2 linked regions of the Arabidopsis thaliana genome follow. The protein of the gene in region 1 interacts with the protein of each later gene in a biochemical or structural test. Each region holds a gene or a part of one and is shown in the gene's direction. Other genes may lie near its edges. The genes, in order: RPS5 and FLS2.

Evidence for each region.
Region 2: the proteins of RPS5 (region 1) and FLS2 form a complex in vitro, tested with the Arabidopsis thaliana proteins (one study listed by BioGRID).

The regions. Positions count from the first base shown.
Region 1 is NC_003070.9:4,142,139-4,148,471, forward strand, and holds RPS5 (Disease resistance protein (CC-NBS-LRR class) family), read left to right. Parts: upstream 1-2,118; 5' UTR 2,119-2,495; intron 2,496-2,649; exon of another isoform or gene 2,650-2,870; 5' UTR 2,871-2,872; coding exon 2,873-5,542; 3' UTR 5,543-5,776; downstream 5,777-6,333. Other genes in the region: RFL1 (RPS5-like 1), read left to right, coding at 1-1,467; AT1G12211 (uncharacterized protein), read right to left, coding at 1,728-1,976; AT1G12230 (Aldolase superfamily protein), read left to right, coding at 5,912-5,965, 6,056-6,197.
Region 2 is NC_003076.8:18,789,672-18,796,506, forward strand, and holds FLS2 (Leucine-rich receptor-like protein kinase family protein), read left to right. Parts: upstream 1-1,903; 5' UTR 1,904-2,130; coding exon 2,131-5,269; intron 5,270-5,353; coding exon 5,354-5,736; 3' UTR 5,737-6,237; downstream 6,238-6,835. Other genes in the region: RWA1 (O-acetyltransferase family protein), read right to left, coding at 6,690-6,835.

The DNA.
Region 1 (6,333 bases):
AGCTATGATAGCTTGAATGGGGAGGATGCGAAGTCGTGTTTCCTATATTGCTCTCTATTTCCTGAAGATTTTGAAATCAGAAAAGAGATGCTTATTGAATACTGGATTTGTGAGGGATTCATAAAAGAAAAGCAAGGTAGAGAAAAAGCATTCAACCAAGGTTATGATATACTCGGTACTCTTGTCCGTTCATCTTTATTGTTGGAGGGAGCAAAGGATAAAGATGTCGTGAGTATGCATGATATGGTTCGTGAGATGGCTCTGTGGATATTTTCTGATCTTGGAAAGCATAAAGAGAGATGTATTGTGCAAGCCGGCATTGGATTAGATGAACTACCTGAAGTCGAGAACTGGAGAGCTGTGAAAAGGATGTCGCTAATGAATAACAATTTTGAAAAGATACTTGGCAGTCCCGAATGCGTTGAACTTATAACTCTGTTCCTTCAGAATAACTACAAGTTGGTAGACATCTCAATGGAATTCTTTCGGTGTATGCCTAGTCTAGCTGTTTTGGATCTATCAGAAAATCACAGTCTTAGTGAACTGCCAGAAGAAATATCAGAGTTGGTGTCCTTGCAGTATCTTGATTTGTCCGGGACATATATAGAGCGACTACCTCATGGTTTACACGAGTTGAGAAAGCTAGTACATTTGAAACTGGAAAGGACGAGGAGACTTGAGAGCATTTCAGGGATATCATATTTGTCAAGTTTGAGAACATTGAGACTAAGAGATTCAAAAACGACACTAGATACGGGGCTTATGAAAGAACTACAGCTCTTAGAACATTTAGAACTCATAACCACAGATATCTCGTCAGGTTTGGTTGGGGAATTGTTCTGTTATCCCAGAGTTGGGAGATGTATTCAACACATTTATATTAGGGACCATTGGGAGCGTCCGGAGGAATCCGTAGGAGTATTAGTTTTGCCAGCTATACATAATCTGTGTTACATCTCCATATGGAACTGTTGGATGTGGGAGATAATGATAGAGAAGACACCATGGAAAAAAAATCTAACAAATCCCAACTTCTCAAACCTCTCTAATGTGCGAATAGAAGGGTGTGATGGTTTAAAGGATTTGACGTGGCTGCTGTTTGCTCCAAACCTGATCAATCTTCGCGTTTGGGGGTGTAAGCATCTGGAGGATATAATAAGCAAAGAGAAAGCTGCAAGTGTTTTAGAAAAGGAGATTCTTCCTTTCCAGAAACTAGAATGCCTGAACTTGTATCAGTTGTCTGAGCTGAAGAGCATCTACTGGAATGCTCTGCCTTTTCAGCGTTTGAGATGTCTTGACATACTAAACAATTGTCCGAAGCTGAGAAAGCTTCCGCTGGATTCTAAAAGTGTTGTCAAAGTTGAAGAATTTGTCATAAAATACAAGGAGAAAAAATGGATAGAAAGAGTTGAATGGGAGGACGAAGCGACACAATACCGTTTCTTACCTACTTGTAGGCTGCGTTGAGGAGCCCCATGACCCAAAAAATGGGAAAATGGTTCTTGTGATGTGAAGGAATATTATGAGTCTCAGTTCTCTTAAGTAGAGTTTGATGTGGTGGTTGAGACAGCTCCGTCTACTGAGGTAGATGACATCTTGAGGTGGATTATCATCAAGAGTTTCTTCTTCTTTACGCTTAGGGCTCGTAGCGGAGGAATCGAATCCTTAGCTAATCTCCGACAACTTTTCCTGTAATATATAATAACACAAGTTGTAATTAAGAATAATCAAATCAATGAATTCAATAAATAAAAGCCTAGATGACAGAAATATTTCTCAATTGCAAAGATTAAGTGAATAACCTGAATATGAAATTGATCAGAGTGATCCGATCCCTTCAAATTATAAAGTCTCGCACACGTACTGAATTTTCTTCCAGCGTAAACATTACGTTTCGATGTTGTCATAGGCCCGAAACACCCGCCCCACCCGCCCCACCCGCCCCTCCGGCCCAAGGGATGATGATTCTTCCCCATGATTCTTTTGTCCTTTGCCTCCTAAACCCTAGCTATATATATATATTTATATATGTCATTTGGGCCTAACTTTTTTTCTATTATTCCACGGCCCAACTTCGGTTTGGTTTGTCAATTAATCTTTTAGCCGTACGGAATCGAAATCTTGACCCCTTAAACCTCAAAAAAGTGTCGTTGGTTTTGTTCTGTTACTCTGCTTTTTGCTTCATCTGTCAACATGACTTGCACATCAAACTTCTAACAACAACTCCAGTTTAGTTGTATGTTTGGATTGTGAGTGTTCATTGTAATGTAGCTAGGATTGTATTTTAAGTGGGAAGAATGTGAAAATATGTTCCTTAATAGTGTTCTCTCTCTGTTTCCTCAAGTATAAGATAGAAGAAGACAAGTATGCTAGTATGATGAGTTGATTTTGATTTCTCAATTTGGTTCGTCAGCCTATTTTTTATTACCCTATGTGATCAATTCCAGTGTGCACACCACTTGTTTGATGAATTGTCTCTGTGGAGATTTTTTTTTGTAAGTGTTCCTTTCTCAAGTGAAAAACTATTTCTCTATGGAAAATTTAAATGTTATTTTTGTGAGTTTAGTAAGTTCCTTCGTTGATCTGAGTTCAAGATGATTGCAATTCTACAGAACCATAAACCCTTAAATGTTCTTTGAGATGATTCTTAGCTTTTTTGTTTGTCTATTAGAGATTAGTCAACGTAGTGATGACATACTGACATCTTTGGATTGTTTCAAAGTTTACGTTTTTACTATACATTGACTAGTCTTAGAGATTTTATATTATGCATATAGTGACATAGACTTTTCCTTTCTTATCTATTCCTCTTCTCTACCTAATCTGTGAATCTCTCTCTCTCACTCTCTCTCTTTTCCTTGATTGTGCAGAGATGGGAGGTTGTTTCTCTGTTTCATTGCCATGTGATCAAGTAGTGAGTCAGTTCTCTCAGTTGTTATGTGTCAGGGGAAGTTATATTCACAATCTCTCCAAGAATCTGGCTTCTCTGCAGAAGGCCATGCGAATGCTCAAGGCTCGGCAATATGATGTGATAAGAAGGTTGGAAACAGAAGAGTTTACAGGGCGTCAACAAAGGCTTTCCCAAGTTCAGGTATGGCTTACTAGTGTCCTAATCATTCAAAACCAGTTTAATGATCTGCTTCGTAGTAATGAAGTTGAGCTTCAAAGGTTGTGTCTTTGTGGTTTCTGCTCCAAAGATTTGAAATTGAGCTATCGTTATGGGAAAAGAGTTATCATGATGTTGAAGGAAGTTGAGAGTCTCAGTTCTCAAGGATTCTTTGATGTGGTTTCTGAGGCAACTCCGTTTGCTGATGTGGATGAGATCCCTTTTCAACCCACAATTGTTGGTCAGGAGATAATGCTTGAAAAGGCATGGAACCGTCTCATGGAAGATGGATCCGGGATTTTGGGTCTGTACGGTATGGGGGGAGTAGGCAAAACGACACTACTCACGAAGATCAACAATAAGTTTTCTAAAATAGATGACAGATTTGATGTTGTGATATGGGTTGTTGTGTCTAGAAGTTCAACAGTCCGTAAGATACAAAGAGACATAGCAGAAAAGGTAGGCCTTGGGGGAATGGAGTGGAGCGAGAAAAACGATAACCAGATAGCCGTTGACATCCACAATGTCCTTAGGAGACGAAAGTTTGTTTTATTGTTGGATGACATATGGGAGAAAGTGAATTTAAAAGCGGTTGGAGTCCCGTATCCAAGCAAAGATAACGGATGCAAGGTAGCATTCACTACTCGTTCTCGAGATGTGTGTGGGCGCATGGGGGTTGATGATCCGATGGAAGTTAGCTGTCTACAACCCGAAGAATCTTGGGATTTGTTTCAAATGAAGGTTGGGAAAAATACACTGGGAAGTCACCCAGACATTCCCGGACTTGCTAGAAAAGTCGCTAGGAAATGTCGTGGCCTACCATTAGCACTCAATGTTATCGGTGAAGCTATGGCATGCAAAAGAACAGTACATGAATGGTGTCATGCCATTGACGTTTTAACATCATCTGCCATAGATTTTTCAGGTATGGAAGATGAAATTCTCCATGTTTTGAAGTATAGCTATGATAATTTAAATGGGGAGCTGATGAAATCCTGCTTCCTCTATTGCTCTCTGTTTCCTGAAGACTATCTTATTGATAAAGAGGGGTTGGTAGACTACTGGATAAGTGAGGGATTCATAAATGAAAAAGAAGGCAGAGAGAGGAATATTAACCAAGGTTATGAGATAATTGGTACCCTTGTCCGTGCATGTTTGTTGTTGGAGGAAGAAAGGAACAAATCAAACGTGAAAATGCATGATGTGGTTCGTGAGATGGCTCTATGGATATCATCCGATCTTGGGAAGCAAAAGGAGAAATGTATTGTGCGAGCTGGTGTTGGGTTACGTGAAGTACCAAAAGTCAAGGATTGGAACACTGTGAGAAAGATTTCTTTGATGAATAATGAGATTGAAGAGATATTTGACAGTCACGAGTGTGCTGCACTTACAACTCTATTTCTCCAAAAGAACGACGTGGTAAAGATCTCGGCTGAATTCTTTCGATGTATGCCTCATCTGGTGGTTTTAGATCTATCAGAGAATCAGAGTCTTAATGAATTACCAGAAGAAATATCAGAGCTGGCCTCTTTGAGATATTTCAACTTGTCATATACATGTATACATCAACTACCCGTTGGTTTATGGACATTGAAAAAGCTAATACATCTGAATCTCGAACACATGAGCAGTCTTGGGAGTATATTAGGGATATCAAATTTGTGGAATTTGAGGACATTGGGACTACGAGATTCCAGACTGTTGCTAGATATGAGTTTAGTGAAGGAGCTGCAGCTCTTAGAACATCTAGAAGTTATAACCCTAGATATATCATCAAGTTTGGTTGCAGAGCCATTGTTATGCTCTCAAAGGTTGGTGGAATGTATAAAAGAGGTAGATTTTAAGTACCTTAAGGAAGAATCAGTGAGAGTATTGACTTTGCCAACCATGGGTAATCTCCGCAAGCTCGGGATAAAAAGATGTGGAATGAGGGAGATAAAGATAGAGAGGACAACTTCATCATCGTCTCGGAACAAAAGTCCCACAACTCCATGCTTCTCAAACCTCTCCAGAGTCTTTATAGCTAAATGCCATGGTCTTAAGGATTTGACGTGGCTTTTGTTTGCTCCTAATCTTACTTTTCTTGAAGTTGGGTTCTCAAAGGAAGTAGAGGATATAATTAGTGAAGAGAAAGCTGAGGAGCATTCAGCTACGATTGTTCCTTTTAGGAAATTGGAGACACTACACCTGTTTGAATTACGCGGGCTCAAGAGAATCTATGCAAAGGCTCTGCATTTTCCGTGTCTGAAAGTTATCCACGTAGAAAAATGTGAAAAGCTGAGAAAGCTTCCATTGGATTCTAAAAGTGGGATCGCGGGTGAAGAACTTGTCATATATTATGGAGAGAGAGAATGGATAGAAAGGGTTGAATGGGAGGACCAAGCAACTCAACTCCGTTTCTTACCTTCATCCAGGTGGCGGTGGAGAGAAACATAATGAACTTCACTTTCTTCTACAAACTTTTGTTGTCATGGTCTAAAGACATTTGCCGGTGTGTAAATCTCTTCCTTGTCTCTTCTTGTTTGCATAACCGTTCTCATCGTTCTTTTGGTTAGTGATCATTGGATTTGTACTTATCTCTTTCTCTAAACGATGAGTGTTTGTTTCGGCTTCATAGAAACATTACACAGAGACTCATGAGAAAATGAATAAAAACTTGCAAGTTCCTAACCATTGTAATAAAATAATAATTAACTGTCTTATCTCGTTGACAGTTTTCGGATAAATTAGAAAAGGCGGGACCCACGTTAATTGGAAGATATCAACGGCTGGATCTGCTTACTCAGATCAACTTCAGCGAAAAAAATGCCACTCTCGTTGCAATCTCCGCCTTGTGCAACTCTCTCTGCTTCAATCCGAGTACTCTCCTCTTCGCTTACTTCTTTCAATCGCATGTATTTGTGCATTGTTTGTTTTTTATCTAATGGATGCGAGCTTTGAACTTCGCAGAAGGGACGATGGAAGACGCTCGCCGCCGGATTCTCCGTTACTCCTCTTCCCGCCGTTAACTTCAGTCTTCGGCGATCGATTCCTCGGATTCTTGCTTCCGCTAGTTCCTCCTCCTCTCCTGCGTCTTCGTCTCTCGAAGCTGGTATTTGTTTATATCTTTGATGATCGTGTTTCTCATTAATTAATAAATACGATTTCTGGAAAGACAAAACAAAAGTATGGGTTTTTGAAAGATTGACTACGATTCAAGCTTTCTTTTTATGTGGGTTTGTTTTTAT
Region 2 (6,835 bases), on another chromosome or scaffold:
GTAACCTACATAGAGCCTAACCACCTCCTAAGCCGTATTTAATAACATTGTTATATTATGTAAAGATATGATATATATCGTTAAGTAATATTATGTAGTGAAAATCCGTCACAAATCATAATAACTTGTAGTGATCAAACTTCTTGTATATAATCTACTTTGTTCTCGCGAGCACCTTAATCAATCATCCCATTTAAAAAATTTCTTTTTGCTATTAACATCTTAAATGTTAAATCTATCATTGAGCAATGTAACAGTTCTGTGTGAAGAAACAAGGAATCACTTACTTCTACATTGTCTCTTTACAAAGGAAATTTGGCACATGATAATGCTTCGGTTTGGGCAATCTCCTTATATCTTTGCAGACTTGTCTATTACCATAGGTAATCATATAAAAGTTATTATATATGAACAATGTTCCTATGGTAATAGAAATTCACATTTTATTAAAAAAACTGATACGAATAATTCAAAGAAATAAAATAACTTTTATATGATTGTCCATAAGATATAGTCAAAACGCAAAAGACTTTGCTCTAAGAAATATTAAAAAGAAAAACAACAAGACGAGGATTATTTCTTTTCAATAATTAAAACATTAGTATAAATACAATCACATGCTTAATGTAATAATGTGACAGTTTGGCCGAGTGGTCTAAGGCGCCAGATTTAGGCTCTGGTCCGAAAGGGCGTGGGTTCAAATCCCACAGCTGTCAATTTGTTTTTTTCTTTGACTCCTTTGTTCATCTTTATTTTAAAATCAATATAAACCCTTTTCGGACATTCTAAATATTTTGACCCAACCTAATGATATTCATTATTTGTCTAACGGGTCAACTTTCAAGTCTTCAAGTAAACATGATATGGAATTATATGGGTCAACTCCAAGTAAGAACAGTGCATGCATCTTGAAGACAAAATTGATTTTTTTTTTTGTTTTTAATTAATGGAAATTTTGAAATACTAATGGGTCAAGATGAGGTTGTCCAAATCAACTGATATCATATATGACCAGATTCCTCAATAGTCATTAGTCAATACAAAATCCATAATCTTTTTTAAAAATATAATCTTTTTATTTTAAATCGCCTATTTTTTTCCATTCATTTGTCCAATGTGAAAAGCCATAAATCATATATTAAGAAGTTGTGAATTGTGATCATAGGAGTAATATTTCTATCTGAACAAAAATTGAATTTTGTTTTGCTTTTTGTTGAAAGATAAATAAAATGTTTGGCAGATTGTTTGTACAGAACACAACTTGTTGATAAAACAAATTCCATCAAGACAGCTAATGAGCTTTTGATAGTCAGAGCTTTGAAGACGTGTTAATGAATTAAACTGATTAGACCTAAAACCAAATATTTAGAAAGAAAAAAATATGATAATTGTTATGTTATTTAATCAATAGTCAAATACTATGTTGAGTACCAATCATTTCAGTTTCAACGATTGCTACTCTTTTGACCAATAACAAAAAGGTTTTTATTTTTCATTTCTCAAACTCCATTTTTGTTTGTTTTTAGCATAAAAACAGCTAGAATGTGAGTTTCATATGTATTATATACTATAAGAAATCATATAAATTAACGACTAGAACATATTGTTTTCATTCTAGTGGTATATCTGAGTTTGACTAGAACGTTTGGAGGCAGATTAAAGTGATTTCGCCTTGTCAAAACTACTTTGTATATGTTATCAATCAATCGCTCAAAACTAAATCGGAAAAAAACTACATAAATAAGATATGGAAAATGATACTAACACAAACTAGTAAGTAAGTAGTCACTACATATTCTGGTCCCATGAATATGGCTTACATAGTACATACATTGTGAGATTAAATGAATATGATATATAATACAAGCATATAAGCATGTGCATGACTATGAAGTGGGAATACATTTAGTGCCTTTATATGCAACTTGACAGAATTACCAATTATGTGAATAGTGAAACTTATATTGCGTCTTGGCCTTTTCACATCCGTGACATGATCCCTCAAATCTATATCTTCTTGCGGCATATGCTTATATATAAACATATGACTTCGTCTATAGATTTATATCCAGATAATTAATTCTCTCATAATATCTTCTCCACAATTTCAACTCTTCTAAAGTCTAAACCATGAAGTTACTCTCAAAGACCTTTTTGATATTAACTCTCACCTTCTTCTTCTTTGGCATTGCACTAGCGAAACAGAGCTTTGAACCAGAGATCGAAGCTTTGAAATCCTTCAAGAATGGTATTTCCAACGACCCTTTAGGAGTATTATCAGATTGGACCATCATCGGTTCGTTACGACACTGTAATTGGACCGGAATCACCTGCGATAGTACCGGACATGTAGTCTCGGTTTCCTTGCTGGAGAAGCAACTTGAAGGTGTTCTGTCTCCAGCCATAGCGAATCTCACCTATCTCCAGGTTCTTGATCTCACTTCAAATAGTTTTACCGGCAAAATACCGGCTGAAATAGGAAAGTTAACCGAGCTTAACCAGCTTATTCTGTACCTAAACTATTTCTCTGGTTCGATTCCTTCTGGAATCTGGGAGCTTAAGAATATTTTCTATCTTGATCTTAGAAATAATTTGTTGTCCGGTGATGTTCCTGAGGAAATCTGCAAAACCAGTTCTTTGGTATTGATTGGGTTTGATTACAACAACTTAACCGGGAAAATACCAGAATGCTTAGGAGATTTGGTTCATCTCCAAATGTTTGTAGCAGCTGGTAACCATTTAACTGGTTCGATTCCGGTATCAATTGGTACTCTGGCTAATTTAACGGATTTAGACCTGAGTGGTAACCAGTTAACCGGAAAAATACCGAGAGATTTTGGAAATCTCTTGAACTTACAGTCTCTCGTTTTAACTGAAAACTTGTTGGAAGGAGATATACCAGCTGAGATCGGAAACTGCTCGAGCTTGGTCCAACTTGAGCTTTACGATAACCAGTTAACCGGGAAAATACCAGCTGAATTAGGGAATTTGGTTCAGCTGCAAGCACTCCGGATATACAAGAACAAACTTACTTCTTCAATTCCATCTTCATTGTTCCGGTTAACTCAGTTAACCCATTTGGGGTTATCAGAAAACCATTTGGTTGGACCGATATCAGAAGAAATCGGTTTTCTTGAGTCACTTGAAGTCCTCACACTTCATTCCAACAACTTCACAGGAGAGTTTCCACAGTCCATCACAAACTTGAGGAACTTGACAGTCCTAACGGTGGGGTTCAATAATATTTCCGGTGAGCTCCCGGCGGATCTAGGGCTTCTTACAAACCTTCGGAACCTTTCAGCGCACGACAATCTTCTTACCGGACCAATACCTTCCAGCATAAGTAACTGCACCGGTCTTAAACTCCTGGACCTGTCTCACAACCAAATGACTGGCGAGATCCCGCGGGGTTTCGGAAGGATGAATCTTACGTTCATTTCTATTGGGAGGAATCATTTCACCGGTGAAATTCCAGATGATATCTTCAACTGTTCAAACTTGGAAACTCTTAGTGTGGCAGATAACAACTTAACAGGAACTCTCAAGCCATTAATTGGGAAGCTTCAAAAACTCAGGATTTTGCAAGTTTCATATAACTCTCTCACTGGACCGATTCCTCGAGAAATCGGGAATCTGAAAGATTTGAATATCTTGTACCTTCACTCTAATGGTTTCACAGGGAGAATCCCGAGAGAGATGTCGAATCTCACTCTCCTCCAGGGGCTAAGGATGTATTCAAATGATCTTGAAGGTCCAATTCCTGAAGAAATGTTTGATATGAAGCTACTCTCAGTTCTTGATCTTTCCAACAACAAATTCTCAGGTCAAATTCCTGCCTTGTTCTCCAAGCTTGAATCGCTTACCTACTTGAGTCTTCAAGGAAACAAATTCAACGGGTCTATCCCTGCAAGCCTTAAGTCGCTTTCGCTTCTCAACACATTCGATATCTCCGACAATCTTCTCACTGGAACCATCCCTGGAGAGCTGTTAGCTTCTTTGAAAAACATGCAGCTTTACCTCAACTTCTCAAACAACTTGTTGACTGGAACCATCCCAAAGGAGCTTGGAAAGCTTGAAATGGTTCAAGAAATCGACCTTTCAAACAATCTCTTTTCTGGGTCTATTCCAAGATCTTTACAGGCCTGCAAAAATGTGTTCACACTGGATTTTTCGCAGAACAATCTCTCGGGTCATATACCAGATGAAGTCTTCCAAGGCATGGATATGATCATAAGCTTGAACCTTTCAAGGAACAGTTTCTCTGGAGAAATCCCTCAGAGCTTCGGGAACATGACGCATTTGGTCTCCTTGGATCTCTCTAGTAACAATCTCACTGGTGAAATTCCAGAGAGTCTCGCCAATCTTTCGACTCTGAAACATCTCAAACTAGCTTCAAACAACCTCAAAGGCCATGTTCCTGAATCCGGGGTGTTCAAAAACATCAACGCCTCTGATCTAATGGGAAACACAGATCTCTGTGGTAGCAAGAAGCCTCTCAAGCCATGTACGATCAAGCAGAAGTCGAGCCACTTCTCGAAGAGAACCAGAGTCATCCTGATTATTCTTGGATCAGCCGCGGCTCTTCTTCTTGTCCTGCTTCTTGTTCTGATTCTAACCTGTTGCAAGAAAAAAGAAAAAAAGATTGAAAATTCATCAGAGTCCTCATTACCGGATTTGGATTCAGCTCTGAAACTGAAGAGATTTGAACCAAAAGAGTTGGAGCAAGCAACAGATTCATTCAACAGTGCCAACATCATTGGCTCAAGCAGCTTAAGCACAGTGTACAAAGGTCAGCTAGAAGATGGGACAGTGATTGCAGTAAAAGTATTGAATCTAAAGGAATTCTCTGCAGAATCAGACAAGTGGTTCTACACAGAAGCTAAAACATTGAGCCAACTAAAACATCGAAACCTGGTGAAGATCTTAGGGTTTGCGTGGGAAAGCGGCAAAACGAAAGCTTTAGTGCTTCCATTTATGGAGAATGGAAACTTGGAGGACACCATTCACGGCTCTGCAGCACCGATTGGGTCGCTTTTAGAAAAAATCGATCTTTGTGTTCATATCGCAAGCGGAATCGATTATCTTCATTCTGGATATGGTTTTCCCATCGTTCATTGTGATCTGAAGCCAGCTAATATACTCCTTGACAGTGACCGCGTTGCTCACGTAAGCGATTTTGGAACTGCTCGGATTCTAGGTTTCCGCGAAGATGGAAGCACCACAGCTTCAACATCAGCCTTCGAGGGTACAATTGGATACTTAGCTCCAGGTAAATTACTCACAACACTTAATTTTCAAAACCCTAATTATGCCATCGACTTACTTGAAATACACTCTTATTTTTCATGAACAGAGTTTGCTTATATGAGGAAAGTGACAACAAAAGCCGATGTATTCAGCTTCGGGATCATAATGATGGAGCTGATGACGAAACAGAGACCAACTTCGTTGAATGATGAAGATTCACAAGACATGACTTTGCGCCAATTGGTGGAGAAATCGATTGGAAATGGAAGAAAAGGGATGGTTAGGGTTCTTGATATGGAACTCGGGGACTCTATTGTTTCTCTGAAACAGGAAGAGGCTATTGAAGACTTTCTGAAGCTTTGTTTGTTCTGTACAAGCTCTAGACCTGAAGATCGACCTGATATGAACGAGATTCTTACACATCTGATGAAACTTAGAGGCAAAGCGAATTCATTTCGAGAAGATCGTAACGAGGATCGAGAAGTTTAGCAGCAAAGCTTTTTTGATGACATTTTTTCGACTTTGCCAAACTCTGTTACGAAGGTTGAATACTTTGGACGTAAAACGTTCTGATTTTGCTTTTCGTTATGTATTTCTGTTTTATATAAGGTTGAAATTTGGTTTTGATGAACTTTTTCATATACAAATGCATTAGGCTACACATGGATACTATAGTTTCTTATTGCAGGCAGATCAGGAATAAGGTTCGTCAAGTTTTTGTCATCATGATGGAGATGACGTTTGTCCCTTCCATTTAATCATGAAACAATACCACTGCTAGTATCGGACAATAGGCAATCTCACGACGGTTATCGAGAACACAGAAGATGACTCAAAGATCAATGCCACACAAGACAATTGTGTAGACTTGCCAAGTAATAGCTGTGAAAACTAGAGTCATTACATTTTCATCTCCCCGGGTAATGTTTTCCATTCTCGGCTAGCGAACCGCAGAAATTGCAAGACTAGACTGATAGAAAACCATGTCAGTGACTGTTGAGAATGAATTCTTCTTTAAAACTTTGCAATTTCATATAATTCTTTAACATCACTATACATTTTTGGACGAACTACATATTGTTTGCTTAATCCTTACAAAACAAAATCTAAAGAATATAGCACAAAAAATTGAAAACTTTAAATCGGAGACAATTACTTCGCTTTTGTATGGCAATAGAGAAAAGTAGTTGAGCGATGTTGGTCTATGCGGTTCTTGGTTCTGCCTTTGGTGAACGTCCTTTGAAGCTGAATGTGCACAAGAAAATGATCAACAAAACTAACTTGTCTTTTTACTTATTTTCCTTTGCTTTGATGCGACCACAATGAAGAAACACAAAGAACAAACACTTGTTTTTGCCTGTAAATGACAGAAATCAACAAAGTTTTCGTTAGATTTTTTATGAGTGGATGGCCAATGAGAATGATTTGGGGACTCACGGTTTCTAACGATGAATCTGAAGAAGAACGAATGAGAAGCAATAGAGTGGAAGAGCGATGGCAATCCCAGCTATGAAGTTAGAGAAGAGTCGCTTGTTGTCTTTTGTGGGTACGAAAACCGTCTTGAGTGTGTTGGTTAGTTCAAAGAGAC